7 separate regions of the Mus musculus genome follow, and regions 1, 2, 4, 5, 6 and 7 are each reported to be linked to region 3. The links are microRNA targets in miRTarBase. Many come from high-throughput screens and were not tested one by one. Region 3 holds a microRNA gene; each other region holds the end of a gene's coding sequence.
What was found. Region 3 holds the annotated microRNA mmu-miR-1981-5p (GUAAAGGCUGGGCUUAGACGUGGC, at 1,614-1,637, shown strand). A microRNA usually pairs through its seed, bases 2 to 8, with sites in the 3' UTR of a target mRNA and lowers its output. Matches are read on the target gene's strand: a 7mer-m8 pairs with bases 2 to 8, a 7mer-A1 pairs with bases 2 to 7 and ends in A, and an 8mer does both.

Region 1: the mRNA of Rprd1a is a reported target of mmu-miR-1981-5p. Seed matches in the 3' UTR shown: 7mer-A1 at 2,576-2,582 and 8mer at 1,115-1,122.
Region 2: miRTarBase lists Asb3 as a target of mmu-miR-1981-5p. Seed matches in the 3' UTR shown: 7mer-A1 at 3,750-3,756 and 7mer-A1 at 3,261-3,267.
Region 4: the mRNA of Rcbtb1 is a reported target of mmu-miR-1981-5p. Seed matches in the 3' UTR shown: 7mer-A1 at 1,886-1,892.
Region 5: the mRNA of Gabpb2 is a reported target of mmu-miR-1981-5p. Seed matches in the 3' UTR shown: 8mer at 1,093-1,100 and 7mer-A1 at 4,309-4,315.
Region 6: the mRNA of Slc4a4 is a reported target of mmu-miR-1981-5p. Seed matches in the 3' UTR shown: 8mer at 1,149-1,156 and 7mer-A1 at 1,586-1,592.
Region 7: miRTarBase lists F2r as a target of mmu-miR-1981-5p. Seed matches in the 3' UTR shown: 7mer-A1 at 2,069-2,075.

Annotation. Positions count from the first base shown.
Region 1 is chr18:24,484,841-24,488,840 of GRCm38, forward strand. It overlaps Rprd1a (regulation of nuclear pre-mRNA domain containing 1A), which reads right to left. Exons shown (of 7, transcript NM_144861.2): 7 at 122-3,491. The coding sequence ends at 3,342. Among named protein-coding and RNA genes, the nearest start is that of 2700062C07Rik, 16 kb to the left of the region's middle.
Region 2 is chr11:31,100,658-31,105,005 of GRCm38, reverse strand. Asb3 (ankyrin repeat and SOCS box-containing 3) reads right to left here. Exons shown (of 10, transcript NM_023906.3): 10 at 2,302-3,969. The coding sequence ends at 3,764. Among named protein-coding and RNA genes, the nearest start is that of Gm40822, 67 kb to the left of the region's middle.
Region 3 is chr1:184,819,754-184,824,101 of GRCm38, reverse strand. It overlaps Mir1981 (microRNA 1981), which reads left to right and starts at 1,614; the gene lies at 1,614-1,695. It overlaps Mtarc2 (mitochondrial amidoxime reducing component 2), which reads left to right. Exons shown (of 8, transcript NM_133684.4): 5 at 1,552-1,613; 6 at 1,696-1,767.
Region 4 is chr14:59,234,546-59,238,893 of GRCm38, reverse strand. Rcbtb1 (regulator of chromosome condensation (RCC1) and BTB (POZ) domain containing protein 1) reads right to left here. Exons shown (of 12, transcript NM_027764.2): 12 at 1,629-3,675. The coding sequence ends at 3,535. It also overlaps the pseudogene Phf11. Among named protein-coding and RNA genes, the nearest start is that of Rcbtb1, 35 kb to the right of the region's middle.
Region 5 is chr3:95,185,087-95,189,434 of GRCm38, reverse strand. Gabpb2 (GA repeat binding protein, beta 2) reads left to right here. Exons shown (of 10, transcript NM_029885.1): 9 at 151-281; 10 at 460-4,348. The coding sequence ends at 765. Among named protein-coding and RNA genes, the nearest start is that of Sema6c, 23 kb to the right of the region's middle.
Region 6 is chr5:89,234,624-89,238,951 of GRCm38, forward strand. It overlaps Slc4a4 (solute carrier family 4 (anion exchanger), member 4), which reads left to right. Exons shown (of 27, transcript NM_001359211.1): 26 at 174-253; 27 at 884-4,328. The coding sequence ends at 217. Among named protein-coding and RNA genes, the nearest start is that of Gm35855, 11 kb to the left of the region's middle.
Region 7 is chr13:95,600,302-95,604,649 of GRCm38, forward strand. F2r (coagulation factor II (thrombin) receptor) reads right to left here. Exons shown (of 2, transcript NM_010169.4): 2 at 1,479-4,348. The coding sequence ends at 3,432. Among named protein-coding and RNA genes, the nearest start is that of F2r, 16 kb to the right of the region's middle.

The sequences.
Region 1 (4,000 bases), not on the chromosome of region 3:
TTGTCTCTGCTTCACTGACTACTCCCAGGACTTTCCCAACTCCCTCCCGTTAGCCCCACACCTTCCTGTCCTTTATCAATGAACTGGATTCAGAAAATAACACACACACACACAAACTCTTCAAAAAGAACATAAAACTTTATTAGGATCTTACACTGTCATCAGATACAGCCAAAGAAAAGGGTTTATAAAAGATGGAGTATCCTTTTTCCATGTGCTCTTGACACGGCAGACTAGATGGCAACAGATGCTGTGTATACACAAATCCATTAAGTAACCCAGTGTTCCCTTCTGTACAGAGAAGAACTGAATTCACACCGTCAAAAGCTTTTTCTAGCACAACTGAGAAGCAGGGCTCATCTCTAGGAGGAACTCCTAATAGCTAGTACAATTAATAGCTAGTGTCGGGCTTTTGCATGACTTCAGAGTGGGGACTGAGGAAGGCCCTCCTACCTCCCAGTCACTGTCCTCTCCAGACTCCAGACCAGTTCATGAACCACACACCACAAAGCTACTCACAGCAGTGACAGCAGACAACATCCTCTGAACTGTGAAAATCATGAAGGGTGGATCATCGTAGTTTTTGTTAATGCTACGGGATTTCTTACAGAGAAACCCTGATTCAGAACGCTGTGAGCAGCTATCACAGCAGCTACAGGCAGGACGGCCTTCCTCGGGGAAGGCCGGCTACAGAGCTCAGCTCCTCTCCAGACTCCCCGCTCCCCTACGGCTCATTTACTTACTGTAGTATTGTAGGAGCAGAGGGAGCACCGGGAATCTGCTCAAATTGCCACTCCGACAGCTCTCTGCACTGTTTGTGGAAAAAAGAGGAATGGTGTCCATTCACAGCACAGGACCTTGCTACAATGTGACATACTTTCCCTTGAGGGCCAGACCAGGTTGCTCTCATACTTGTAATTTGCCTCCGGTACATGGGAGAGAAAATGTGCATGATTTACAGCTTGGTATTTTATACCCCTCACCTAGGCCCATTTCTTTTTTTCTTTTTCTTACTGCAGAGTCTCACTCATGTAACTAATGGCATTGATCTCACTCTACAGACCAGGCTGGCCTTCACAGAGATCCTCCTGCCTCTGCCTCCCAAGTACTGAAATTAAAGGCATGAACCACCACACCTGGTTTAAGCCCATTAAGTTTAGTCTTCCTTTCAGAAAGGAACATTAACGACTGTAAGGCTGAAAAACTTACTTCTAGAACAAACTGTACAGTCTGTTCAATTAGTGAGCTAACCAACAACTTGTGGTTTGGGGATTCGGGTTTTGAGTACTAGCATTTATCACAGATCTCATCACGCTCTTTAAAAAAATAATACATTTTATCATAAATATTTAGATCAGATAGTGGCATCAAAAGAGTATCTAAGTCTGTCTTCATGGTGAAAATATTTCAGGAAACTTCTAAAAGAGTTTATATCTTCCCAAGAGTATACCATTTATAAGTTAGTTTTAAATGGAAAAGTATCTAGTTTAGATGGATAAATCACTGTGTCAGCAAATCATAAATAAGTTTAAGATACTGAAAATAAGTTAACACACAAAGCTTTTGCTTTCCAAAACAACAAAAACTTACTTGGCATACTTTCAAAACAGGCATAATCAGGGTATGTAATGTGCATCTCCTTTGCTGACTCTTTCTTAGATCACTACCCCTAAGGAAAGGATAGCAGCACTGGCAGCCACCCCAGTGTGAAGGTCTGGCTGCTGCACACAAACCCTTATTTGACAGACAAACGCTGCTCAGGATGTGCGAGAGCCACTTGTCAGCTCATTACAAGCATATCCGAGGTCCAGTGGTTTGGGCTTCCAGTTGAGCTTCAGCGGTGTGCACAGAGAACAGCTATAGCTTCTGTGAGGAAATGTGTCCTAATTCCCAAAAGTTGTCATTGGAAGATAGAACATTCATGGGACGGGGTGATGCCATACATGTAACTCTGTTTTGGAGAAAGGCCAGTGTTTAAAGCACTGTTCCCAAATCTACTGGCTATTAAAGAAAATTACCTGTCATTTCTTCACATGGAAATTCATTTCAACTATATCCTCTAATACTGAGAAAGAAACAGTGAAGCCATTCAGAGTAGTGAGTATAACTGGCCTGTGAAATCTAAAAGGTGTCCTACAAACTATTCACTTGGACTCCGATTACATGAGAAATGCAAAGCAATAAAGGAGAAAAACATCTCCCTCTGCCATCATGAAACACAAACCTGCAGCTTCACAGTGGAACTTAAGAGAAAGCTGGAGAGCATGCACCTGCTCTAACACACCAGGTTCAAGTACAGATAAAGGTACATTTGCTGTGTATTTACACCTGTAAACAGACAAATATAAAACTCACCACATCTACCCTGTAGTACAGCATTGCTTAATTCCAAAATATAATCATTCAAAAACATTACAGAAATAAACTGTTTCGGGCTGCGTAATTGAGCACTATGGGTACTGAGTTGTTGAGCTGCTCAGGCTAAGAGCTACGTTTACATGACATGGGCAGGGATTAAGCACTGGGACTGTGTCGCTGCCTGGTGTTCCCTTTACACCCCACAGCTGGTGTTTTGTTAAAGGGATCTGATGTAAGAAGACTGACGACAGAAGCAGTCAGCTGGAGAGCTGGAGTTGTGCTCATTAGGACAGCAGAACTTACAACATTCGTAAAGCATTAACTGCACTTAGTCTAAATAGTGCGATCCAGGGAGTGTCTAGTTAACAGACCTTCGATCCTGGGATGGCATTTGAGATGGAACTACTATAGTACTACCGGGGAACCTTCTCTAGGCTTTATTTGACCCTGCACGGCATCCATGTCTAGTGTTAAACTCGAAAGGCATGAGGACACACAGAACCAGTATTTGGGTGGCAAGAGTAAGGTGAAGTTGAAACATTTAGTCTCTTCTATAATCAAGCTCTAACGATCCCATAAACAGTCTCACATCAGCTCCTGATCAGTTCTTCCCATTAGGAATTAGATAGTGTACAGTGATTAGATACTGAAAAAAAATAAAGAAAAGTAATTGAAAATACATGAAGAAATAGAAACATGGAATTTCTCACAAGGCCTTGGATCAAAAAAAAAACTTACAAAAGATTTTTTTGAAAATAATCATTAAGTTCATTAATACACAGAAATCATCACTTGGTTTTAACTAAGTCATGTTAACTCACTAATAAAATAGCAAAACAAACCAACATTTTAACATTTTATACTTCCTTGTCATTTCTTATGTTAGTACCATTCTCAACAATGTACAAAAATAACTCTACAGGACTATTCACCTAACCTGTCTCCATGTCTGCCAAAGTCCTGGCCCTGGAGGAGACTGGCCATCAGTCTTCACTGTAGATGTCCCCCGCAAAGGGCAGGTGCATGTGACTGCCAGTGACATTGGGCAAACGAGATAAATCTGGCAGGCTCTGGATCCGGGCTCTTAGTTCTTTGCGTACCAGGGAAACTCGGGCTAACTTGCGCTTGTATTCCTGCAACAACAAACCACTCGTTAGCTTTCATGTTGAAAAAGCAGTCTAGCTTTCTGCTGATTCTCTGCAGAATTTTGTATTATTCAGCCACTGGCAAATAAATGATCATTCCATTGTGAGTTTGAGTCAAATGGGCTACAGAGGTAGTAGAGAGCAGTAAAAGTACATAATAGCCATGCAATTAAATATCACGATGTGTGTCTTTTCTATTTTTGTTGTTGTGTTTTGTTTTTTTTGAGACAGGGTTTCTCTGTGTAGCCCTGGCTGTCCTGGAACTCACTCTGTAGACCAGGCTGGCCTCGAACTCAGAAAATCGCCTGCCTCTGCCTCCCAAGAGCTGGGATTAAAGGTGTGTACCACCACCACCCGGCTAGTGTGTATTTTCTTTTTTTTTTTTTTTTTTTCCATTTTTTATTAGGTATTTAGCTCATTTACATTTCCAATGCTATACCAAAAGTCCCCCATATCCACCCACCCCCACTCCCCTGCCCACCTACTCCCCCTTTTTG
Region 2 (4,348 bases), not on the chromosome of region 3:
TTGAAATATCCTCTCTTTTCAACTGTTCAGTTCAAACCCATTGACAGCTGAACTTTCATGATTTCATTATGTTAGACAAAGATTGTAAATTAGTACCTTATAATGACTTCAGATAAATTTTTATTATCTACACAGGAAAGTAGTGAAGAAGATATACAAACCATTTGATGATAAAAGGGGCATAAGCAGATATCTTCGAGGTCTTGGTGTACGAATGGCAATTCCTACCTGCTCTGTTTCATCAGTTCATGCTGAGCAGTAAAAATCAGCCAAGACACAAAGAAATCACACCAGTATTTACTAGTTGTACCAATTTAAGTTACTTTATAAACCCAGATGCCATGACTCACATCTGTAATCCCAGCTTGCAGGGGATGTAGGTGGAGTGAGTTCCAGGCCAACCAGAGCTATAGTTCCAGAGCAGCATTAGCTACAGTAAGACCATTTCAACACCCCCCCCCCATTAAGAAAAAGCCATCATAAATGCACATATACTGGAGTGGTGCACAAAATATGCAGTTGCGTGGTTACCTTGGACAGAGACCACATGGCTAGAGAACGTCCATCAGGTATTACCTACAATTCCATATTCTTTATATAAATATGAGGCTGGGTTTTTTCCCTTTCTTCGGGTAACCTTAGACAAAGAATTAGCAGACACAGTTTTTTTTCTTTCTTTCTCTCATTCTCACTGCTTCAGAAGTCTATAAGCACTTGACTTTAGCTTGGCTGAAGGTTTCACTGCAATGATTTAAAAAAAAAAAAGAATGGACCAAGAAAAAAAATGTGAAATTGGTTAATTTTAAGTATACATATTTTTAAATTCCTTAACTTTCTGCATAGATTGAAACCATAAAAACCTCAAAGACAAACTAATGGACCTGGACGGGAGGATGAGTTACATCTTCCTTTCTTTCTTCTGTATGGGGAGGTCAGTGTATGTATGTATGTATGTATGTATGTATGTATGTATGTATGTATGTATGTATGTATGTATGGATGTGTGTGTGAAAAGATTCTCTCTCTCTTACAGACACAGACACACATTATTTTTTGAGGACTCATCCATATCCTAGGCTAGCCTCTAACTGGCTATGTACTCGAGCATAGCCTCGAATTTATGATCCTCCTGCCTCCACCTTTAATTTATTAATATCCTATATTTTCTTTTCATATCAAATACTTAAATATCATTACCCTTATTTCCAGGAGGATTTGTTAAAAGATTAGCATAGTAACCAGTTAATAAATGTCCTTCAATTAACACATTATTCACCAAAGCAACTCCACAATATCATTTAAAATCTACACACAACTTATTCAAAGTAATTCTTCATTAAAAATATAAACATATGCTGACCTCATAGTGAACCACTGATGTTAATTCAGTTGAGGCTGTACCATATGTTACAGAAAAAAAAAAGCATGCACAGTTCCATCTAATTAAAATGGTAGGATTTCATTGGACAAAATAATTGTTTATTTGCTGCAAGACATTATGCACCAACAATCATTTGTCATTTAATAAAGCAGTAAAAATGATAGATTGAAAACAAAAACCCAGCAATTGGGCCTTGTAGGTGAGAACAAAAGAGAGAAAACAAACCAAAAAAACAAAACAAAACAAAAAACCAAACCTGTAATGTCAGAGTTACTAAGTTTTCCTTGTAGTTGTTTGTTTAGAAATTTCTTTTTAAAAGGCAAGAAAAATGGAAATAGCATGATTATAAAATTACTATGCTAGTGTGTGCAAGTTGTCAAATATGACCATATTTAACTAAGAAACACTGCCTCCTCCCAAAGGGAATGTGTTCCTGAGATGCCTGAGGCCCCCACTGGCTCTCATCAGAATGCAGGAGTTTTCAAATAACTGCTTCAAGTCCCATGAAGACCTAAGTAATGGACCTCCTGGTATCAGTTTTACCCACATGTAACTCCTGACACAATTACATGTGCCTGGAAAAACAGGTATACACATCCACCCACTGAAGATATAAGCCAATGTGTTTAATGTTCTTGGTTTCTCCAGTACTTAACTATGAGTACTAATGCCCTCTACAGTCACCCTCCAGTCACATGGCTGGCCAGGTGTCACAACTCATTATCACTGCTCAGCATCATCAGAATCCAAGAGAATCTCATACTATGTATTGCTGCCTTAGGAGACGATCAAGCTTCAAAGTGCAGTTTCTATGAGATGCTGGTCACCTTTCCACTACTATAAAGTCAAAAACTCATCAGCCAGGGGCTATCTGTATTGACTTTCAGAGCTTCAAAAAGAAAACCACAATAATAACTTATGGGAAATCAGGGTTTTATAATACATTTGGACATGAACAAAATACATTAAAAGGTAAACTCTTTTAAAGCACTCTATATACACTTGGCCATAAGCAAAAACAAAACCTGATACAGAGTTTGAAAAATAAAAGTCACATTATTTTAAAAATAAAATTTTAAAAGTTTGGAATATCTTTATTAACCAGAACTATCAGAATTTCTGCCTACTTTTCAATACCTAACTTTATATCCTCACAAAACAAGACTTGAATGTAAAGATGAGCTTGTCTTCCCAATCAGTTATCAGTAAGACATTATGCTTCTTTCAAGGGCTTATCAAAATGCGACCAGCTGATCTACCCAGTCTCAGGTTGCTGGCAAGAGATGAAGGCTTGCCTCCTTTAGAAACCAGCCTGTTCTGTCTATATTGACAGCAACACTCTAGTACCTTCTTAAGGCTAGTTTCCAATTCCCTAAATAACTGATTTGATCATGTTTGATTTTTCTTGACTCGAGGTTTAAATAAAATAGTTGTAAAAATTCACAAGGCAGTAGTATTCTGAGGTCCATATTTCATCCACGATCTGAAAATACATCCAGACATTAAGAAAAACATTATATTGATGTGATATAATTGACTATTGGTGACTAACAGGAACAAAGCTGCTCTCTTATTCTGGAGCTGAATGAAGCCTGGCTATTATATTTAGCATTAAATTAATAAAGTGTGCATTCTTTCCCTATAGATAGTGCTGTATGAATGTCCTTTTCAGGTTTCTTTATTAATATTCTAAGTGCAGTAAAATACTTCTAAAGATGACATAAAATAGTTTATGCTGTGTATGACTTTGAGTTTAGATGTGTTCTTGTCTTTGCAAACTAAAAATCAGGTATCTTTTGCCAAAAGTATAAAGAAAGAATGAACCTAGGGGGCGAGAGATCAACAATATGACTGACTTTTTATGTTCTTTTTTTTTTTTTTAAAGGACTCCTGATTTTACATGTGAAAATGCAAGAGTATCAACACCTCACAAAAATGTTTGAATTAAGGACTGAGAACAGATTATAACATGGAGGAAAGTTTCCTCTTAATAAACATTGAAGATATTCATCCCTAAGTAAAATAATAATGAAATATAATTCAAAAGGACAGATGTTATAAATTCTTCTGGGGAAATTTATGGATTCTATCCTTAGATTCTAGCACAGGTGAACATGAATCCTAAGTAGAAAGAAGTCACATCCAGCACCACATCAGAATTACAGTTTATTAGCAGAATAAAGTAGAAAATGGTCAGGTAAACAAATAATACACAACAAAGTGCACTAGAAATAAAACTGAGTAAGGCAAGATGGATAAGGTTCACAATATTGGGAAAGACACAAACTGGGAAAAGCAACTGTAAACATGGACATTTGATCACCAAATCCAAACAGTCACACAAGCCGTCTTTTGTGACTAAACAGAATTAAAGGACCTGTGTCAGGTGGCCTTGCTGGTTTCTCCATCCTGATTAGCTGCTGGTTCTAGAATCTCATTCATTCTTAAAACCTCTTCATAGAGCAAATAGTTCTGCAGACTTCTGGGAAGTGGCAACTGATGGATGAAAATGTCAGAGTGAAGGTGCTCTGCTTTTAGACTGGCCCGAATTTCCAAACGACAAAGATGGGTTAGGCTTGGAACAGAGGCTGGAGAAACAAACAAACATAATTTTCACTAACAGTGGACTGAATAAATGGTTGGAAAAGTAATAGCTCTTGTTGTGAAAGCATGACGACCTGAGTTTGAACTTCAGAAACAATGGAAAAGCCACAGTGGCGGCCAGCACCTCTTACCCAGACAAAAACAGGAGCATCAGTGTAGCTTGCTGGCTACCTCCAGATCCAATGAGAGACCCTGTATCAAGGCAAGTGATATACTAACATCCTCCTGTGGCCCCCAACATGTACACACTATCATGAATACTTACAAAACATACACATACACACAAGCAATACATTAAGATAAGCATCCAGCCCATTTTATACAATAAAAAAGAAACACTACGTTGCTTAGCTCATTTTGAAA
Region 3 (4,348 bases):
GGCATCTTCAAATGCCCCATTTCTCCTAGAGGCCCAGACAAAGGAGTGTACGGATTATCAGTGGGTCTCAGTAGATCAGTCACAAACCTTCAAGAGATGGACCTAGGCTGTAGCCTAGGCTGTGGGGATAACCCGAGTCATGGAATTCCCAGATCTGTGCCCATATCCCCCAAGGTCTGGAATTACAGTCGTGGGGCATCCTGCCAAGCTCCTAAATCACTTTTTAATTAATAAGAGGGACCATAATCTTTATGTAGCTCTATGTAAGCATGTGACTGTGTGATATTAAATGTATAGCTACAGACCTTAAGGTGCTGTAAAGACACCAAGACAGGATCCTCTGACATCTGGATGATGTCACGTGCAGACACGTGACAAAGTGGATGCAGGAGATCATGCTGATACATGAATCTGTTTCCAGGTTAGAGACAGGATCTGGGGCTGAGGGATCTGCAAACTCACCGAAGCTGATCTCTCTCTCTCTCTCTCTCTCTCTCTCTCTCTCTCTCCCTCCCTCCCTCCCTCCCTTCCTCCCTCCCTCCCTCCCTCCCTCCCTCCCTCCCTCTGCTTGGTCACGTATTCTCTGTCTTGTCACACTCTCACAGCCTGCTGCTCCTTGTCCCATTCAGTGTGTTGGCATTCAACCCCTGATTGAAGATACTTAGGCACCTGTAGGATATAACCCCATGATCTGTATATATGCCCTTATATGTATACATATAATTTATAGATTCTACCAACTCGGACAAAAGGTGACTTGGTGTCTGGGGAGAAGAATATGTGGTTAAAAGTGTTGTGTAATCATAAGGATTACACATTTGGATCCTGGCACCTGGGTAACAAGGCAGGCATCCATCTCACAAACATTTGTAACTGCAGCTCTGAGTGTCCTGGTGACTCCCAATCAGAAAATTATTTTTGTTGCTACTTCATGTTGCTACTTTTGTTCCAGTAAATATGTTTGCTACTGTTGGGAATTGTAATGCAAATATTTTTGGAGATAGAGGGTTGCCAAATGGGTCGTGACCCACAGGTTGAGTTAAACCTTGGGCGAGAGCAGACTTGTCTCGAGAGCTGCAGGTTTCTCTTTGTGTGGTGGAAAGCCGTCCGGGGAGTCGGCTGGGTTTCTCTTTGTGTGGTGGAAAGCCGTCTGGGGAGTCTGCTGGGAAGCGCGCATTTTGGAAGGCTTGTTCTTGCTGACCTGGCAGAATCAGTGATTGAGGTTGTGAATCAAGAGGAAGATGCCTGGCGCTGAGAGGCAGTGCTCTGATTGGCTGCCTGGCGCTGAGAGGCAGTGCTCTGATTGGCTGCCTAGCCCCCTGTGCACAGGCATTGGGTTCCATACTCAGTTCTGCAAAATAGTTAAGGTGAGCCATGTGTCCCGAGCTTGACTGTGCCTCCCTCTCTCTCTCTCTCTCCCTCTCTCTCTCTCTCTCTCTCTCTCTCTCTCTCTCTCTCTCTCGCACTTTCCAGACTTCTCAGAGTCCTGCTGCTGCTGTCATGTGTAGTACCTGACCAAGGCTCTAAAGCCACCTCTCCCTGTTCTCCTAGGATACTTGGGATGAACTCCTGATTGGTGACGTGGAGATGAAAAGGGTGTTGAGCTGTCCCAGGTAAAGGCTGGGCTTAGACGTGGCCTTTGGGTGTGGAATGCACTTCCGTTTGTAACCGCCATCTAACCCTGGCCTTTGACAGGTGCGTTCTGACTACAGTGGACCCAGACACCGGCATCATAGACAGGAAGGAGCCACTGGAGACCCTGAAGAGGTAGGACACCAGCGTGCGCCCGTGTTGTTGATATCACCAGTCAGGCACCAGGTGTCTATGCGCTATCCCAGGGGCACCTTTGATTTGTATCTGTCCCTCAAGGATGTGAGTCCCTGTTTCTTCCTCTTTTCATATTTTTAATTTTTCTAGGTGGATCCTCTATTCGGATACATTTTTAGTTGTACAATGTCCTATTTTAGAACTTTGACCTCTCACCAACTTCTTTTCTGATGTGTGTATGTGTGTGTTTGTTTGTATATGTGTGTGTGTGTGTGTGCATATGTGTGTTGATGGTGTGTGTATGTGTGTATATGCATGTATGTGCGTGTATTTGTGTGTGAGTAAATGTGTGTGTATTTGTGTGTGAATGAATGTGTATGTTTGTGTGTGAGTATGTGCGTATGTATATGTGTGTATATGCATGTATATATGTGTATTTGTGTGTGGATGAATGTGTGTATGTATGTGTGTATGTATGTATGTGTGTATATACGTGTGTGTATGTGAATGTGTGTGTATGTGTGTATGTGTTTGTGTGTGTCTGTGTGTATGTGTTTGTGTATGTATGTGTGTGATAGTATGTGTGTGTGTTTATGTGTATGTGTGTGTAGGGCAGAGGTTTACATTGAATGACTTTATCGACTGCTTTTCATGTTTGTCTTTTGAGTTTGTTTTATAGAAATTTCTTGTTTTTGAAAATGATCTATTTATTTTTTATTTTATGTGCATTGGTGTTTTGCCTGCAAGTATGTCTACCTGAAGGTGTCTGACCCTCTGGAGCTGGAGTTACAGACAGTTATGAGTTGCCATGTGGGTGCTGGAAATTGAACCCTTGTCTTCTGGAAGAGCAAGCAGTCAGTGCTCTTAGCCTGAGCCACCTCTCCAGCGATTAGACTTATTTTCAAAGGGCAGACCGTCTAGGCAGTTTAGAGCTTCTGTTACCAGCACTCCGCTGTCTTCTCACTCTCAGACACGCACACACATGTGTTCTCTGAGTGAGGAAGAGGTCTCCACAGTTCCTTCCTGCATGTCTTTCTCATCTCAAGCGTCACACATGATTCCTTACGGGCACATTCACTTCTCTGCATCCGTGTCATCAATTTCTAACCCAAATCCATAGTCTGTGGTCATAATAGTCTTAACTTGGTCCAGATTGTCTGCGGCCAGGTCTTCAGAAAATGCTAGGTGACTAGGAGCTGCCTGGGCCAGGCTCAAGGCATACGGAACTCGGTCCTTGTTCCCTCTGATGTCAAAGAGGCACGTCATACTGGCAGTAGAAGCTGTACAGTGGGGTTACTAGACATGGGATGTGTGAGCCTCTTTCTGTGGAGACACAAAGCAGTGTTGAGTGGCTGGGGCAGCGCCAGCTTAGAAAGCAGGGACAGCTAGAAGCTGAAGACACACAGGCTGCTGTGGCTCTGCCCACCCAGGATGCACTTCAGTTTATGTTTGAGACAAGGCCTCTCTCTCAGTGGCCAGTGAACTTGCCAGGGAGCTCCAGAGATCATCTGTCCCTGCCTCCCCAGTGCCAGGATTGGAGGTGGGTACCACTGGGCTTTTTCTGGCTGCTGGAGATGTGACTCCAGGTCCTTAATCCTGCACAGCAAACACATGACCAACAGAGGCATCCTCAGGCCCTCTCATCAATTTCTAATATTCTAAGAGGCCCCGGGTTCCACCTCAAACATTTCAAAAAATATAAAAGGACAAAAAGGCCCCATTCAGCATTTTTTAGGGGTAGCTGGTTGTTTTGTTTGCCTTTCTTCTGTTTTGCTGTGTGTTTCTAACGTTATTTCATGAGGCCTTTGGATTTTCAGTTCCATTTGTGTCTGCTTTTTAAAATACAGTCAAGGTAATTTTTCTTCAGTAGTCCTTGGACTTTTATCAGCAATCTGACTGGTCAGTGATATTACTGCCTTAATTTTTGTTTGGATCTTAATGTTGGAGAAATTGAAAGTACTGGGAACCAATGCGTCAACCCAGAGCTTTGGCAAATGTTCTAGTCTTCATCACCCGGGTAAAATAAGATGCCTTGAGGGAAGCAAGTTAAGGGAGAAAGAGGTTTATTTCAAGCCGGGCAGTGGTGGCACACACCTTTAATCCCAGCACTTGGGAGGCAGAGGCAGGCGGATTTCTGAGTTCGAGGCCAGCCTGGTCTACAGAGTGAGTTCCAGGACAGCCAGGGCTACACAGAGAAACCCTGTCTCAAAAAAACAAAACAAAACAAAACAAAAACAACAACAAAAAAGAGGTTTATTTCAGCTCCCAATTCCAGGATCCAGTACATCATTGTGGGGAAGTTGGGGCAAGAATCTAAAACAGTTAGTCACGTCACTTGGAGTCGTGAACAGAGAAATGAATGCCTGTTTGCCCACTTGCTTGTGCTCAGCTTGCTTTCTCCACTCTCAGATAGTGCAGGACACCCTGCTAGGGAATGGTGACACCCGCACTGGGCTGGGACTTTCTACATCAGCCCACAGGCCAACCCAGTGTAGAGAGTCTCTCATCGAGACTCTTTCCCTTGGTGGTTCTAGGTTGTGTCATTGACACTGAAAGCCAGTCACCTCAGTGGGTGAAAGGT
Region 4 (4,348 bases), not on the chromosome of region 3:
TCTCCTCTCAGTATAACTCCATCAGCATAGAGCCGACTCTGTCCTGTGCATTGCTCGCTGTTACCCTGGGTTTCTGCTCACTACCACATTGCCAATATTTAGCACACTTAATAAATGCTTGTCAAAACCACTGAAGAGTGCACCGTTTATTTAATACAGTCCCAGGCAGCTCTCGGCTGTAACAAGACACAATGCACTCTTCCGTGTTTACTAATTTGTGGGGCTTCATCAGAATCTTTTTAGAAGTGTCCTTTTGGCCACAGTCATTTCAAGGGCATGCTTCATGTTCAAGACCAAGCTTTTGAATCTGGGCTCTTTGACTCAAGCACCATTAGGGAGAATAGGGGATGTGGAGCACTAAGACTTTCCCCACCTGACAGTATGCATCAGATCTGTGTACCCACACTGCCCCTGACCCTTGACTCCTCTCACATCCACATTTCTCATTTCCTCCCATGATCCTCTGGGTCACAGTAATGTGCCTGACAGAATGGGATTGAGCTGTGTCCCAGCATGGTATCTTGTTTGTAATGTGTTCTCACACACTTGTGAATCACTCCTGGTATAATACTGTGGGTACCAAGGCCTGCCTAAGCCACTTCAGGAGGGATCAACTGGAATGACTGCCATCTGAGCACCCGTCAGAACCAGCTGGGACCCTTTTATGTTAGTGCTTCCTCTGCTGCTTTACATACAGCTGGAATCTGTTCATCTCAGTAGATTATACGGCACAAAAGCACCAGTTGTTTGATGTTTACAATGTAGGCATATATTGGGCAAACTGCTAAAAGAAACCTCCTGTGTTATTACTGAAAAATGAGCCAAATCCTCACAGCCATGAACTCTCTATAAGGAAGTGTATGGTGGCTCAGGGCACAGCAGAGGGCACTGTGGGTGTAAATGTTAGGGATCCTCATTCAATGGTGCATTTTTTTTTTCAGACCTAGAGCCAGGTTCATGATCATTCATGTTTATTGTACTGTTTTCTAGGTGAGCTAACATTTCATGTTTTTCCGTATTGTACAGAAAACATCTTCAGAACAATTGTTTGTTGAGTCCAATCCATTTGGTTCCATTATATGAAAATAAATGCTGGTGAGACGGTCAGCACTTGTCACCAATCTGATTAACTTGAGTGTTTTGCCAGAACCCACACAGCTGAACTAACTTTTACCAGCTCTCCTGTCACCGCCACAAGACTGTCATGGCACATGCACCCTCTCATGTACAAAGCTAGTTCAAAAATTCTGCAAATATTCCATTAGATTATTGGTTGTTAGTCCAGTTCTCACAACAACTGGTATGTCTCACAAGGATAGTGGTTGCTAACTTTTCAGTTTTGTTTATTCTTTCTCCATATCAACTCTTAAAATATATAGTTCAGTAGTTTAAAATATAGCCAAAACTATTACTCATTCTAAACTACTTCACCTTGTGACACAGAAACTACACATTTACCATCTGTGTCCTCTCCCAGCTCCTGGCACCCACTCTCCTTCAGGATCACACATTACTTGCTCTTTTGTAGGGGGTTATCTTTTCTGACTGAAGTCCACATATTCATCAAGTTCCTCCCTTTGTTCAGACTGCATACTACTAAAGAGAAAACAACCACAACTGTACAAGTGTGCCTTCAGAGGTTGTTTATTAGCATGTCAATCAAGAAATTACATAAATGCATCCTAATTACTGAAGTATAAAACTGGTTCCAGTAACTTCAAGGATACAGTTTGGGATCTTTTAAGAAATGTGACTTCTCTGGCTTCCATTATTATATCAGAAGAAAACATTAATTTCAATAATAGTTTCTTGCTTTCTATGATTATAACCAAAACCAAGTAGAAAAATAAAAAGATTGCATTTAAAAAAAATTTGCAAACCCTTTTTAAAGGACTTTTCTTTCACTAACACACACACACACACACACACACACACACACACACACACACACACACACACACACACAAAAACACCCTAGCTGTTCAGCAAGCTAAAAGTGTGTCTTCAGCTGGATCAGGAACTCAGCACGTTTTTGTCAGGTGAACTGTCTACGGGTGTGGATTTGCAGGTGTAATTTGTGCTTTTTCGTGGGTAAGTTTTTCAAGTAAGACCACCAGTAAATGTTCTAAAGTTTCTGCTTTGAGGCCCTAAGTCTACAGGACTGAGGTTCTACAGAAGGTCCATTCACTACAGCAGTTCAGATTAATGTGCACTCATCATCTTGGCCAGGAAAACTGCCACCTAGGAGGCAGTTGTCACTTACCCATGCACCAGGCAACAGCTGTAACATGATCAGGAAGAGGGGCTTTGAGCTCTTGTTCCTATTTATCTTGTTTGTCAACACACATGCCTGCCTGTCTTTGGTGCCTCAGTCACCATCCACCCTGGCCTAGTATTTTACAAATGACCTTTTCGGGAAAGGCATGAATAGGGAGCCCTAGCTGAACGTATGACAAATGTATTCCTAACACAATTATAGAAAGAAAAAAAAAATCAACCAAAACTGGAGAGGTTAAGGTGAAGTTTCAATTAAGTTTTGATGGATTTTGGCCTGGACTCCTCCCACCACCGAAAACAGTGAGCATTCTATGGAGTCCTGTAAGAAGGGTGGCTTTAACAATCACATCAAGTCAGAAAAGAGCAGCCATGTAGAATGTGTTTGTGAGTAATTATAGGGAGAGGGGGATGGTAGTGTGCACGCTGGTCTCAAACACAACCTTAGTGAAGCACTGTTGGATAATTGGGGTGCGGGGAACCCTAATTTTTGTAACACTCTCCTCTCCAAGCAAAGCTCTTTTACCATCAGCTTCTCATAGGTACTTCTTGTCACTTCTCTATAGGGACCTAAATCTTTTAGTTCTTCTTCTTTCTCCTTTATTGTGTCTTTGTGCAGACATGGTACATGTGTAGCAGTAAGGGACAACTTATAAGTCAGCTCTCTCCACCATGTGGATTCTGGGGATTCAAGTTAAGTCATCAGGCTTAGTAATAAGAGCCTTTACCTGCTGAGCCATCTTTCCAGCCCTAGGTGCCTGTCCCTTAAGAGCATCTCAGCAAACCTAGTATTTCTTGACTGCTTAAGTGGGTTTAATGCATATTAAGACTATTTCTTAAGAGACCCCCACAGTGCTGATGCCCCCACAGGAGGTTGGTGACAGTGAGCAGCACTCAGGGAGCACTGGGCAGGGCCTGTCTGCCACAGACCATGTGGAAAGGCTTGTGGCCAAAGGTCTAGGGATATTTTCCTGGCTTTCTTAATACAAGCTCAAAACATCCTCTCATCAAAATTAAAAGAACAAAAGCATGTAAACTTTCATCCTTTCCCAAAGCTCAGTCAAATGTAAGAAAAACACATGTAAAACATACATGTAAAACATACATATCTAGACACAGAGTTGTAAGAAATGGACTCACAAGAAGCAAATATCCTTCATATATTCCTACAGAGCACTGTCTATGGTGTGGGGCTTTACCTGCAGATCACCGCACCCACAGTGCCCCAGAGCTCTCACACCTAGCCCAGCAGCCTTGGCTTCAGTTCTTAAAGGCTCCACATTTACTGGCTTTAGCAATGAACTCCTTTAGCAGGGGACCATCCATTTGCCAGAACGCAGCCGTCTGGGTAACTTCTGTCAAATGATTGATGCAAAACTTAAAGCAGAATTCTTCTAAATCCTGGACACATACAACAAAAACAAGAACAGGGAGAGGCCTTTGTTTATTAACTGGGAACTGTTTCTCAGCTAGTCCCTCATCCCAACTCTCTTACCCTTCCCAGAAGAGATACTGGAGACCAGATACCTCAAACCGTGTCATCAGAAAACCACCTGCCTTCTACTCAGAGCAGAGTAAAAGCAAGGTTTCCCTAAGTCAAGTGTGGCAGACACACACGCAGACACACACAGCCACACACAGCCACAAAATCATCTAGGGCACTCCAATGTATGAATGCAAACAACACTAAATAAAAGCTTTTCAACCAAAACTCTGACTGGTAAGCTGTAAGGAACTCTCCAACCTTTAGATGAGGGGCCGTGCCTTCCTGTGGGAGGAGAGCATGTAAATAAAGCTCAGAGTCTTCACACGAGAAACTACAACTTATAAGTCTGTGAGAAATTACAAAGTGGATCTAGGGTAGATCCAGTGTCAGATTTACTGGAATTAGAAGGAAACAACAAATTTTAAAATCGCTAATTTGAAAAAAATCCAAAATAAAAACAAGAATATTGTGTGTATGTTCTGTATGTTCTGTGTGTGTGTATGTTCTATGTGTATGTTCTGTGTGTATGTGAGGCAGGAGCACGGAGGTTCCAGGAACCCCTTGTGGAGCTGGTCCTCTCCATCTCAG
Region 5 (4,348 bases), not on the chromosome of region 3:
TGTGGCTTGGTGGTAGAACACTTGCCTGCCCATAAAAGAATCCATACCCAATGTATAATATTAAATTCACTTTTCTCTACTTAAAATCAAACAAGCCTCCTTTGTATATTGTGTGCTCATTTTCTCCCATTGATGTGCTTTGGCTTGTAGTTCTAACTGTGCCTGCTGGTCAGGTTGCAGAGGAGACAATAATTGAAGATGAAGAAGAGGAAGAAGAGAAATTGCCATTGGTGAAGAGACCAAGGATGGCAGAGATGACAAACAGGGTTGAGGAAATGAAGGTAATGAATGCTTACCAGTGAGCAGAGGAGGAGGAAGGCATGGACACCATGGTGAGCAGAGGAGGAGGAGGGCATGGACACCATGGTGGTTAGGGCTGACGCCCTCTTCATTTTTCCGTCTTCATCTGGGAAGTTCATACTCGGGATTCTTACTGTGTTGCCGCTGATTGCTTTACAGGAAGGCAGTGAAAGAGAGCTACTGCAGCAACAGCTCCAGGAGGCCAACCGAAGAGCCCAGGAGTACAGACACCAGCTCCTCAAGAAAGAGCAGGAGGCCGAGCAGTATCGGCTCAGGCTGGAGGCTATGGCTCAGCAGCAGACCAACGGAGTTGAAGTTGATGTCACCGTAGTTGAGGAAGTAGCTGAAGTGGATGCTGTAGTGGTGACAGAAGGGGACGAGGTAGAAAGAGCAACACAAGTCATGAAGTCAGGAAGGACCACGGAGCCTCACACTAACGTTTCCATAGAAACTATTTCATCCTAACACCAACGGCTACAACTTGTGCTCACTCATCATATTCTTTGTAAGAAGAAAGTATAGACTGCAGGTACTGCATACAAATTAGAATGTCCTTAAGAGGGTAACAATAGCCGGGCTCAAGGCCTGAGCCTAGGAAGGCTGTGTGTGCAGCTGGAAAACTCAGAGCCACTTTAGGGGCATCTGAGGGACCAAAGGACCAGGACCAAATCTCTCAGCTCATATCGTTGCTTTAAACAGAGTACTGGGCATTGTAGGTTGAATTTCTTTTTTAATAGTTAGCTTTATATCGAAAGATTTTAAGATAGTACTTGTAATACATATACACCAAGAGCCTTTAATAGTTACACCTGAAATTTTTCAAGTGGCCTGAAAATATGCCTTAGATTTATGAGATTGATGCAGTTGTAGGAAGCCTCCTCTTGAGGAAAAGTAAAGGATAGCATACAGTTGTAAAGAGCAGGCACACAAGTTCTCCCTAGTTAACCTACTGAAAAGAAGTCCCTAAGCCAGGCGTGGTAGTACACACCTGTGATGTCAGCACTCAGGAAGCTGCAACAGGAAGTTATTTGAGGTCAGCCTGAGCTAAAGAGAGTCCTTCAATAAAAGAGGGCCAGATGTGGTGACACATGCCTTGAGTTCCAGCACTCGGGAAGTAGACACAGGCAGATCTCTGTTGAGTTCAAGGCCATGTGGTCTACGTACCAAGTTCCAGGCCAGGCAAGGCTACACAGTGGGACCCTGTCTTCACATATAGCAGAGCACAGCTGGGGTGGAGAAGTGGTGCTTGCTCTTCCAGAGAACCTGGGTTCCATTCCTAGCACCCGAGTCAAGCTGCTCACAATTACATGTCCATCCAGCTCCCAGGGATCATGCCCTTTTCTGGCATGTGTGTATATCCACACACATACATTTATATATACATATCAATGAAAGAGTTTTAAATTAATAACAAAAAAATTAAACTAGTTGAATGCAGTGGTTCACACTTTGGGAACCTGAAACAGAAAGATTACGAGTTTAAAGCCAGCTTGAACTCCATTGTGAGTTACAGGTCAGCCTAGGCTACAGTGTGGGATCTTAGTGCAAGAGAAAAATCAAGTGTCATGGTGTGCACCTCTAATTGTAGCACTCAGGAGGTAGAGGCAGGAGGATCTCTAAGTTTGAGGCCAGCCTAGTCTACAAAGAGTTCTGGTATAGCCAGGGCTATACAGAGACACTGCCTCAAAAATAGAGAAAAATTAGCAAAGAAGGGCTGACTTAGGAATACCTGATAAATTGTGTCCATTGCTTAGATACAGTATAAAAAAAAAAATAGGCATAGTGGCACAGCCTATAATCCCAGCACTTGGGAGGTGAGACGGAAGACCACTGTAAGTTAAAGATCAGCTTTGGCTTCAGTGAGATCTTTCTCAAAATAACAGCAAAAACCCGGAAATGACCAGATGGAGCAGTGACGGGCTCTCATCCCTGCACTTGGGGAGCAGAGGCAAGCAGGTCCTTGGGATTCTAACTAGCCTGGCCCACAGGGTCAGTTCCAGCCTAGCAGGATTACTCAGACCCTAACAAGGACTCCCTGAGGACATAGTTCAGTGGTAGAACGTGGTGCTTAGCTTGCAAGGAAGCCCTGGGTTCGTCCTTTGACACTGTATGTACACAGCGAGAGGAGGGCAGAAGTGCAGGGAAGAAAACCGTTGACAGCAGACTTAAACTCAGGAGAGAAGCTGTGCTGCTGATGGGTAGAAGCTATGTGCAGAGCAGCACCCTCCAGGCTGTGCTTCCAGAGAGAGGCTTCTGGGCTCTGAGTCTCTGGTCTTGAGATGGAAACTATATATTGGCTGGACTTTATAAACCTGCAAGCAGGAGGATCACTTTCAAAAGTTTTTAAATTAATTTTTATTTGTCATTGTAACAACATCTTTCATCCAAACATCTATTTATATAAAGTCAAGCCTAAAACTCTTTAAATTATATAAAATTTGGCCAAATTTTCTGTGTCATGTGGGACACTGGTGCTTTCTGTAGCACTGAGCACTCTGTCAAACACAAAGCAGTGTGGCAGACTGACCAGGCTGGGGAGGTTTGCCCCTGTTGATTTAGTGTGAGTGCATTGCTGCTTCTGTTAGTGTGGCCATGGAGTCTGTGCCCTGTAGTGCTCAGGTGACAAAGGGAGCAGGTATCACTGCCACAGCAAGGAGCCACCCCAGGCCCATTGCTGACCTCCCCTCTCCCTTACTCCACATTCCCCTTGCTCAGACACTTGAAACATTTTCAGTGCTAGGCTTTTGAGGAAGGGTTGGGGCAGGTCTCTCTAGCATGAAGTGTGTGTTTGTGTTTGTATAGCTGGGCACGGTACTCATGCCTGTTAGCAGTCAAGAGCTATAGGAGGAGGGTTGACATGAGTGCAAGGCCAGCCTGAACTACATTGTGTGAACCTGTCTCAAAAACCACAAAAATTAGACACCTGAGCATTGTGCCTCGTGCCTGTAATCCCCACTCAGAGGATCACTGGGGGTCTCAGATGAGACTTCTAGGCAATACAGTGAGATGTACTCTAGGGCAACATGGACCACAGAGACTATATAGTCCAGGATGTCTTGTACTGTAGTCCCTTGTATGTCTTTTTATGAGGTCCTGGGTTCAATCCCCAGGACTGCAAAAAACAATATTTAAACGTCTTATAGACAGGATGTGATAGTACATGTCTACAGTCCCAGAACTGGGCGAGGGAGGCAAGAGGTCAGACGGCGAGAGTCATCCTTGGCAATTTCTCAAGTTTGAGGCCTGCTTACACCAAAGTGGGAGAGGAATAAGCACTCAGAGAGGGATTGGGGTAGGTGATGGGTAACGTAGAATTGCTTGCCTTATTGTACAGGTGCCAAGTACACTTTTGAATAACTGTTGAGAATAGGTTTCCTGATTAGTGATCATGAAGAAAACATGCATTTTTAACCTGGAAAGAGCTTGGCAGTTAACATGGTTCTGGTTACCTTGATTAGTGGGATAATTTGTTGCAGTGTTTCAGAGGTATAGAATCATTTTTGGCTCAAAATAGACTGAAAACATAATTCTCCAAATCACATTTAACAAAATTGAATATTAGAGGTTTATAGGCAAAAATAACCATTTTGAAGTTAACCTTGACTGCTAGCACTGTCTGCTCCAGGGATCTGAGCATCAGGGATGATCTAGTGTGTAGAGAGTGTTGTGGGAGCACAGGGAGGAGGCGTGTGAGGTTGAGGATCCGTCTGCTGTGGATTCTTCTGTTTGCAGCGCTCTTCTGAGACACCCAGGAAATGGGGTGCTAGCAGTAAGCTATTGTGAGTGGCATTTCAGAGCCTTGGTAACTAGAGGGAGCAGGTTTCTTTGTAGGTGGCTTTTGTTTACATCCTTAGAGCACATGTTGAGTTTAATTTCCTTCCTTCTTTTAAAGGAATAGATGCTAACTGCAGAGGATAACTGTACCTAACCACCTCGTTATCTCAAGTAGTATCTGTGGGGATGGGATCTGTCCATCTAGTCCTCCCTTCTGAGCAGGGCTTCTTTCCACCTTTAAGGAGGACCAAGTTTCATTGTTCCAAGTCACTTT
Region 6 (4,328 bases), not on the chromosome of region 3:
TACCTCGATACAATGTTGCAATGTTCATTGCCACTGTCGGAACCTGATCTTCCTACTCTTCTCAGTTCTGAAAGGTGCCTTGATTTGCATGGAGATTTTCATATTCACTCTACTTTTACATTTTTACAAAAAGAGCTACATCTTTTCATTTGATATATTTTTTTTCTTCCCAGGAGAAAGATCCTCAACATTCCTCGAACGCCACACATCATGCTGATAAAATTCCTTTCCTTGAGTCGCTGGGTTTACCCAGGTAAAGCAAAGTCAGCATTTGTCTTGTGCTATGGGAAAATGCAGCAGTGGGGGCTATGGGCAGAATCCCTTGCTCTCTTCTCTGGGACTTACAAAAATACCCCAGGACTCACCCAGGCTTTGCTGATGGAGAGCATTTGAAAGAGCGTTACTCTTCCGAATAATGAGAAGTGTCAGTGTCATTAAGCTGACGAATAGGATCTTATGATTTTATTGCCATGCAGGGTACCTGGAGTTTCCTGGTAGCTTTCTTCAGTAGTTTCCTTCTCTCTAACAAGGGTCTGGAAATGATAAGTCCTATCTGAATCCCAGAAAAGCGGACTATGAATGTCTGCGGGTACTTGTCTTAGTCCTTCCTCTCTAACAATATTATCCACATGGTAGATTCATTTTGTTTACTTTGGGACTATTTGTTATATATGAAACCTCGGACCATTTTTGCTGGAATTTCCTTTCCCTGCTTCATTTAAAAGTCCCTGTTCTCAACCCATATGGAAGAGGTAGGCATTGGGTGGAACAGTGTGATACATTTTTAGGGTGTCCAGTCGATGGGCGTTTCAGAGATGATAATGAAAATTGTCTTTACTCCATGTTTCTTTCCTTTTCTGTTTCTCTTTCTGTCTTGCTTCAGTCCTCCAAGAACTCCAGTGAAAGTCGTGCCTCAAATTAGAATCGAACGTGAGCCTGAAGACAACGATTATCTTTGGAGGAGCAAGGGAACAGAAACCACGTTGTAACCTGTTTGTCCTTCTCAAAACTGACACTTCTGTTGTTAACTGTTCTAATTTTTTTTTGTCTATGTATTTTAAAATCTTTTGTTTGGTCACTGGCTGAATAATAGTCACTCTCTCTGCTTCTCTCTTGCATAGGTAAAAATCAAGACAATAGTGTCCCTTGCCTTTAAAAAAAAAAAAAAGAAGCATTTGAGGGTCACACGCTTGTTTTCATACATTCAGATGTGTCCTCCGACATGTAAATCCCTTTGTCACTCAAGACACACAGAAACCGCCCTTGTCAAGCAGAGATCAAATGTGACGAGAATTTTTGTATCACCTTTTATGAAACTATTGAAAGAACTTACAACCTAAGCTTGGAGCTTGGCTTGGTTCTGTCTGGCAGAGCAGCCCTTGACCTCCAGACAGAGTCCCTTCCTGCTTACAGAATCCCCAAGACTGGAAAAGTGCTGCTACCAACCTGCCCTTGCTCGCCAACCCTGATCTTAGAGTTATCAAAAGCAGAAAACACTAAAGGTACTTCGCTCCCTGTAGAGAAACCTTTGCCATCATTGTAGCAAGTGCTGGAATGTCCCTTTTCCTATGCAACTTTTTTTAACCCTTTAATGAACTTATCTGTTGAGTACATCGAAGAATATTTTTCTTCCTAGATTTTGTTGTTTAAATTATGGGGCCTAACCTGCAACTTATTTTTTGTCAATTTTTTAAACTTTTTTTTAATTACTGTAAAGAAAATGAATTTTTTTCCTGCAGCAGGAAACATAGTTTTGAGTAGTTCTACCTCTTACCTGTAGCTGCCAGGCTTTCTGTAAAAATTGTATTGTATATAATGTGATTTTTACACACATGCGTGCACGTGAGCACGTACACACACACACACACACACACACACACACACACACACACACACCAATCTAGGGTAAGCCAGAAGGCTAGAACAAATTAAAAGAAAAACAAAACACCATGCTTCTAAGAATCTGTTGGGTTGTTGGGTTGTTCCCCTCTCCCCTTTTTTCAAAATAAATGTAGCTGTTTTGTGAAGGAATCTGGGGAGCAGAGAGAAATGTGTGCAGGGGGAATAACTTCTGCTGTGGTAATGACTGTGCTGGGAACAGATGCTGGCATGTTACATGTCGACATCCTATGCAGTATTGTTAGGGATTTCCTCATTTTAATAATTTGTGTCTTTGTGTAAGAACTCTGTGTGTGGTTGTTGCACACCTGTGCAAAGCCAGATAAGTGACAGTAGCCAGAGGGCAAAGCTGTCACGCTCCTTGTGTCCATTTTCATAAAATCCAAAACCACTCATAAGAACTTTGTCAGGGGCCAAGAAATGTATCGTGGACATTCAGGTGAAGATATCTTACTACTCAGACATCAGTCAGCATCCCAGATACAAGAGTCTAGAGCTACAATACAAAAGCCATATGAATATTATCAGCTCTGTGGTGTTACACATCTGTAACATGGTATAGGAATGCACATAGATCTGCAAGGAAAGTTTAAAGTGTTCATTTACATGCCCTCATAGGATAGGATTATTAGACCACATGTATGTGTGTGTATCTGTGTGCTTCAATAGACCGAGTTGAAAATTAGACTTTCCTTAGCCAAATTGATGTGGCATTTGATTCCAATATTTTTAGTAAGCTGCGTTATATGCGGATTATATATTGAGATAATAGTTTGGATGTGGAATTCATATTTTTGGATTTGTATAGCAACAGTTGTGATACACATTCACTGGGAGAGATTGCTGGGAGCATTGGAGAAGCAGAAGGGAACCACCTACTATGACTGGGTCTGTGGTTGGCTCTTACAGACTCCCACTTTCTTACAGGAACGAAAATGTAACCCCGCTCTCCTGAAATCTTGATCAGAGTTGTATTATCCTGCTAGATGTTACTTCCATGGCATTTGTTCATCTTGAAACTTTAGATTTTAGAGTATTTAGGCATGAACGACCCCAAGGGTTTTTTGTTGTTGTTATTGAAGTCATAGCAGCAAATTACATGTCATTTGTTACCATCTCAAATGATACATTTTTACATTGCATTTGTTCTGAGGGTTATCCTGAAAATGGTTGTTGTGCATTTTCTGGTTTTCTATTAAACCGTGTAAGGAATCTTACCTTTTTAGGGATAAACACATCAGTAAAATGTTAAAAGCATGCATTGTAAATGCAGTCCAATCTTGATGTTGAATCAAAGACACTTGGTTTACTTTTATAAAATCTCTGGATATATATAATATATATAAATAATTTTTAATTATGAATCAAGTCTATATAGGGACTCATGACCCTCCTCTTACTTTTCAGAGAGCTCCTGGAGTTAGTCACGTCAGTCCTTGAGTAGATCCTGAAGTTATCTCACCCCATGTATGGTCCCTAGTCTGTGACTGGGGTGGATGTTAGTATTCATGGACTGAACATAGAGCCATACCTGACATTTGCTTGAGGAGTAGGTAACAACGAGTGTTCTCATTACCACCTGAGTTCCCACACTAACAAGCAGAACTCCAAATCTCCATGGATGCCCCGCAGTATCTGAATCTGGCTGAATTTGCTCATTGGCCGATAACTAAGCAGATTTCATGGTGGTTTGTTTCTATGCAAACTGGACACAAATACAGCAATGAATTCTTTATAATGCCTTTCTACCCTTCCTCCCTGGATGTGAATTTGGAGATAAGTGTTTCTTGAAGCAAAGACTCAGAGTTGTTGGCCAGGAGTACTGTGGTAGTGCAAACTGGCTGGGAGAGAGATGTGCAGGCTGAGCCTGCTTGTCGAAGCATCAAGGCCTCCAGTTTGCCGAGATGCTGAGATGCTGGTCCTGTCCTACTGTGTGCAGAAACTACTAATGGTTTTGTATATCAGAGGCGGTATTGTTTCAGCCTCTCCTGATAAAGCCGTGGGGTGGGGCTGGGAAGTACTCTTTTGAGAAGACACAAACCAGACCTTCCTTCTTGTCCCCCACCTAAGAGAAAGGGCTGTCTGTTGTCAGTAATCTGGCTTATGTGCATTTTGGGCACATGTAACAACACACACAGAGTAAATCCTTTGTCAGTCACGTGTTGCTGTTTAATATAGCAAATGATTGTCTTCCATGTTTTTGTTTCTTTTATTTTAACTGTGTTGAAGTACTTGAAATGTATTGACTGCTGAGAATCTTTAAAAAAAAAAAACATTTGAGTTATACTACAGAGGTTGGCATTGATCAGGAATGGGACAAAGTTTTCTTCAATCTTCTTTTTTTTTCCATACCACTTCACGATTTTGGTGCAAGGACCTGAGATTTTCTTCTTTATATTCTGTGATGTTTCCCATCTGCTCTCACAGCA
Region 7 (4,348 bases), not on the chromosome of region 3:
TTGAGTTATTGTTTGAGGGTTTCCTACATTTGTGTAATGGGCTCCTTCATTTTCCCATGGCCCTTTGTGAAGAGAAGCTGTGTGTGTGGAAGCCCTGGGCCTCGGGATGGAAAAGGCTGGCTCACAAAGCAGGTTTAATGCTTTCCACTGGCTTCTGGAACTCAGGCCTTCCTCAAGGAGGAGATTCTGCTACCCCAAGTTCCTCAAATGAAATGCAACCTAAAAGTTTCCAGCTGCATATTCAACAGCCAAACGAACGATCCGTTTCCTCCCAAAAATGTTGCTTTTGACTTGGAGGCGAAAAGCACAACATGTGTTGTTGTTGTTGTTGATAAAATTCAAGTGTGTTATTTGAGCTCAAATGCATTTCGAAAAGTTGTAATAGGAGAGTTTAAGATTGCTTTCTGACTAGAGGCAGGGTCCTTGTGCTGGGGGTCCCAGCTGAGGTGACCCCCCCCTGGTTCACATACTGTGTGTATGGCTTAGGAAAACCACGTTGACAACTCTTTGTGCTAACAGAATGCTTATTTAGATGAAGTAATTTTTAAAAAAACTGACCGTGAGTCTAGATACACTGTACTAAAACCTTTTTATTGATTTTTCAATTCTCAGGGGTTGAGCACCATTTGGCTTCACCTCCTCCCCTCAGGGAGTGCTACACGGCACAGGATGGTCATTCATGCCCAAGAGGTGGCATTGCTGTCCCTGTTTACTGCCACCCTCTATCAGGCTTGCTGGGAATGTGCAATCCCCCTGCCTCACCCTGAATACAGGGTTGACAGGCCCCACAAATGCCCAGTGCCCCCCTCAGACACGTCTGTCTCTTCCTAAAACAGAACTGTAGATGTAATTCACAAAGCTTGTAAGTTGGGAAACCCGTCTATTTTCAACGTTGTAATCAATTTTCCAAAAAGGGGATTGAAAAATGGGAAGATAACCAGCTAACGAACGCCTTTCAAAAACCACGCTGTACGCGCTGCGCTGTATTCGTCTCTCCACTTACTATGCTAGATCCCTTCTCCAGGCCCAGGGAAGCTGACCTACGAGGGATGTCACCCTGGTGCTCTCTCCATTTGGTTCTGTAGCTGAGCCCAGGAACAGTCTTCTCACCTGTGGAATTTAGAGGGAGTGTCTGTGGTGTGGTCAGAAGGTGAGGGAGGGGTTGGGGGGGTAGGAGGTGGGATAAAGATGACGGTGCCCCTACATACAGGTATGGAAACACAGATTTAACCACACACACACACACTCACACAATGGGAAGCACCAGCAAGGGGTGGGAGAATCATGTAGCAGGGATTAGCCCCTCACTGTCATCCTCGCCCTGTCCCTGGCTGGTGAGCGGTATCCCTAACCTGTAGCCTCTGGGGAGCTTCCTCATCCACCGCTGACCCTTTCACTCTAGCTACAGAACTGTAAAGCACCCATTACATCACTAAAGAGTGCTGTGCACTCCCACCGGGGCCCACAGGAACAATCTATTCCAGACACCAAGCATGGTTTTAGTTTATTAATATATTTTTTTTTAAAAAAGAGGGTGAACACAAAACAATGACGTAAAAGGTCACAAGCGCGGTGATAACAGTTACATTAAGTCACAGACAGAACACGGGACAGGGAGTCAGTAATTGAGATCAGCCAACACCGGAACCAAGTTAACCATACAACCATAGGACTTTCGTGGAAGCGACTCTACAGTATTTGGAAATACTTTGTTCTCTTAAATAAACAACCTTTCTACTCTTATTTGCTTAAAATGCCAACATATTTTTTCATCAGAAAAAGGATATGTTTTAAATTAATTTTCAAATTATTTTGTCAAAGGTATGAAGATTTTATATGCTTGTTAGTCACTGTGGCATTAAAAATGCTTTACAAATAATCTCAATAACTCAAGAAAAATACAGAATAAATTTCAATCAATGAAATTTCCTTTCATTACTATTATTTTTAACCAAACTGACCTATATATTTCTTAAAATTGGACTTAAGTAAAACTTTTTGTGTTTGCTTGTTTCTTAAAAAAAAAATTGTTTAAGATCTGCCTGCCTCTGCCTCCCAAGTTCTGGGATTAAAGGTGTATACCATAATGCCTGGCTGATTTGAGTAATTTTTGAAAAAACATTTGTAAATAAATAGTGTGTAATTTTGTAGGCTGAAGGGCATATGTATTAAAAATATACATCTTATACTGTGTTTTTATCCTAATCTATAGCTACTGGAAGCAGAAACTCAGATATGCAAAGCAGTTTAGCTGATAGGCCTTGCTTATGTGAAATACACTTGGTCACATCCAGCTGAAGACAAGTTCTATGTGCATCATAGCTGACCACATGCCAGCTCTCTGCGTTGCCTGAGTAAGGACAGGACTCGGTTATTCTCCTATAGTCAGTCTATGGCCCACTATCCAACAGTGTGACCAGGGCATGTGGGTGTGTCTGTCTGTGCAAGGGCCAGCCTTGCAGGACAGCTACTGGATGTAAACACACCTTTCTCCTCTCGTCAGTCTTTCATAGTTACTGCCTCCCAAGATGGCATACCTTACCTTGCCAATTTCTAAAAGACACAGTCAGCTCACAGCTAATGAGAATCCTAGCAGGATGGGGTGGGCCTGGTGCTTCCCATCCATCTCTGCTCTCTGGGAGGCATAGCCGAAGGGGTGTGATGTACCTGGTGCTCAGAGGCCTCCATGCAGATGGCTGTGTCTAGGCTTGGCTGCTTTGTAAGGTTTATTACAGTCCTGGTGAGTCTTATGCTCAGTCTTGGTCCATGTATTCAGTAAGTAAATTGCAAGTTAAAAAAAAAATGCTACCCATATCAAAACGGGTTTTCCAACAGCCTTGATAATTCTTAAAACTACGGTATGTTCAAGATGAAAAGTATTAGAGCTTCCCCTACACAGGTAATACTGTCTCATCCTTCCATCACTAACCATTATTATCAAATAATTTGAAAAAAAATATAGGCAAAAGCTGTGTTAAGTCTAAACTACGGACTCCTCCCCTATCATTAGGATCTCCAGCTGCCCAGTGCTAACACCCACCAACTCAGACTTTGTTTATTAAGTCAGAGAATCAGATTATTTCCATAGTAACGGCCAGGGAATAAACAAAAATGTGTCAAAGTGCAGATTCCCTCCTGCATGACAAATGAGTGTGTGCATACCATCTATATATTAAAGTCACCTAGATATATAAGAAGTGACATCCAGTTACTATCATAGCACTAGCAACACTGGACACCTTTATTTCCGTTCCCGTCACCTTGCTGGTAATTATCCAATCTAGACTCTTGATAGCAGAAGTATTCGTGCATATCGGATATTGGTTGTTTTTTAGGTTTCGAAGTAAATACAGTTCTTTGCAGGGACTAATGGGATTCCCCGCTGTTGGCTTTCCAACCTTTTCTCATGGAACCTTCCAGCAACCCTTTCCCTAAGCTAATAGCTTTTTGTATATGCTGTTATTCAGGTGACTAGAGCAGGTATCCATTTTACTCGGCATCAGCTGGCCGGTGCTGTTGCAACTGTTGGGATCAGAGCTTTCTTTGCAGCACAAGATGCTGTAGAGGTGCCTCTGGCACTCGGAGGAGGCGTAGTAGTAAATCAACGGATCGATGCAGCAGCTCACGCTGCTCACACAGACGCAGAGGAGGTAAGCAAAGTAGGCTGCCTCTGTACCAGGACTGTCGGAGAGGAAAAGGTAGTGCACAATCAGGAGGACGTTGGTGGGCCCAAAGCAGACGATGAAGATGCAGAACACCGCGGCAGACAGGAACAAAGCCCGCGACTTCTTGCTCCGGTTGGCAACCGCGGAGGAGCTCAGGCACCGGATGATGGACGTGTAGCAGACCGTGGAAACGATCAACGGCACAAGAAAGAAGATGGCGGAGAAGGCCGAGAAGTAGTACGAGTAAAAGCCTTGCATCAGGTTCTCACTGAGGACGTCGTGGCAGGTGGTGATGTTGAGTCCCGGAACTCGGGTGGTCTGCTCCTTGAGGAGAAGGGGCACCACCCCCATGATGGCCATCACCCAAATGACCACGCAAGTGAAGTTGGCTCGGCCCAGAGTGCGCCAGGACAGGGACTGGATCGGATACACCACCGCCAGGAACCGGTCAATGCTTATGACCGTCATGAGCATGATGGAGGCGTACATGTTCCCGTAAAACGCTGCGGTGGCGAAGCGGCACATTCCAGACCCGAACTGCCAATCAGTGCCGGAGAAGTAGTAGCTGATCTTGAAGGGGAGCACCGACACGAAGAGCACGTCGGCCATGGCCAGGTGCAGCATGTACACCACGGCCGGCTTCTTGACCTTCATCCTCAAGACGAACACTGCGATGGCCAGGA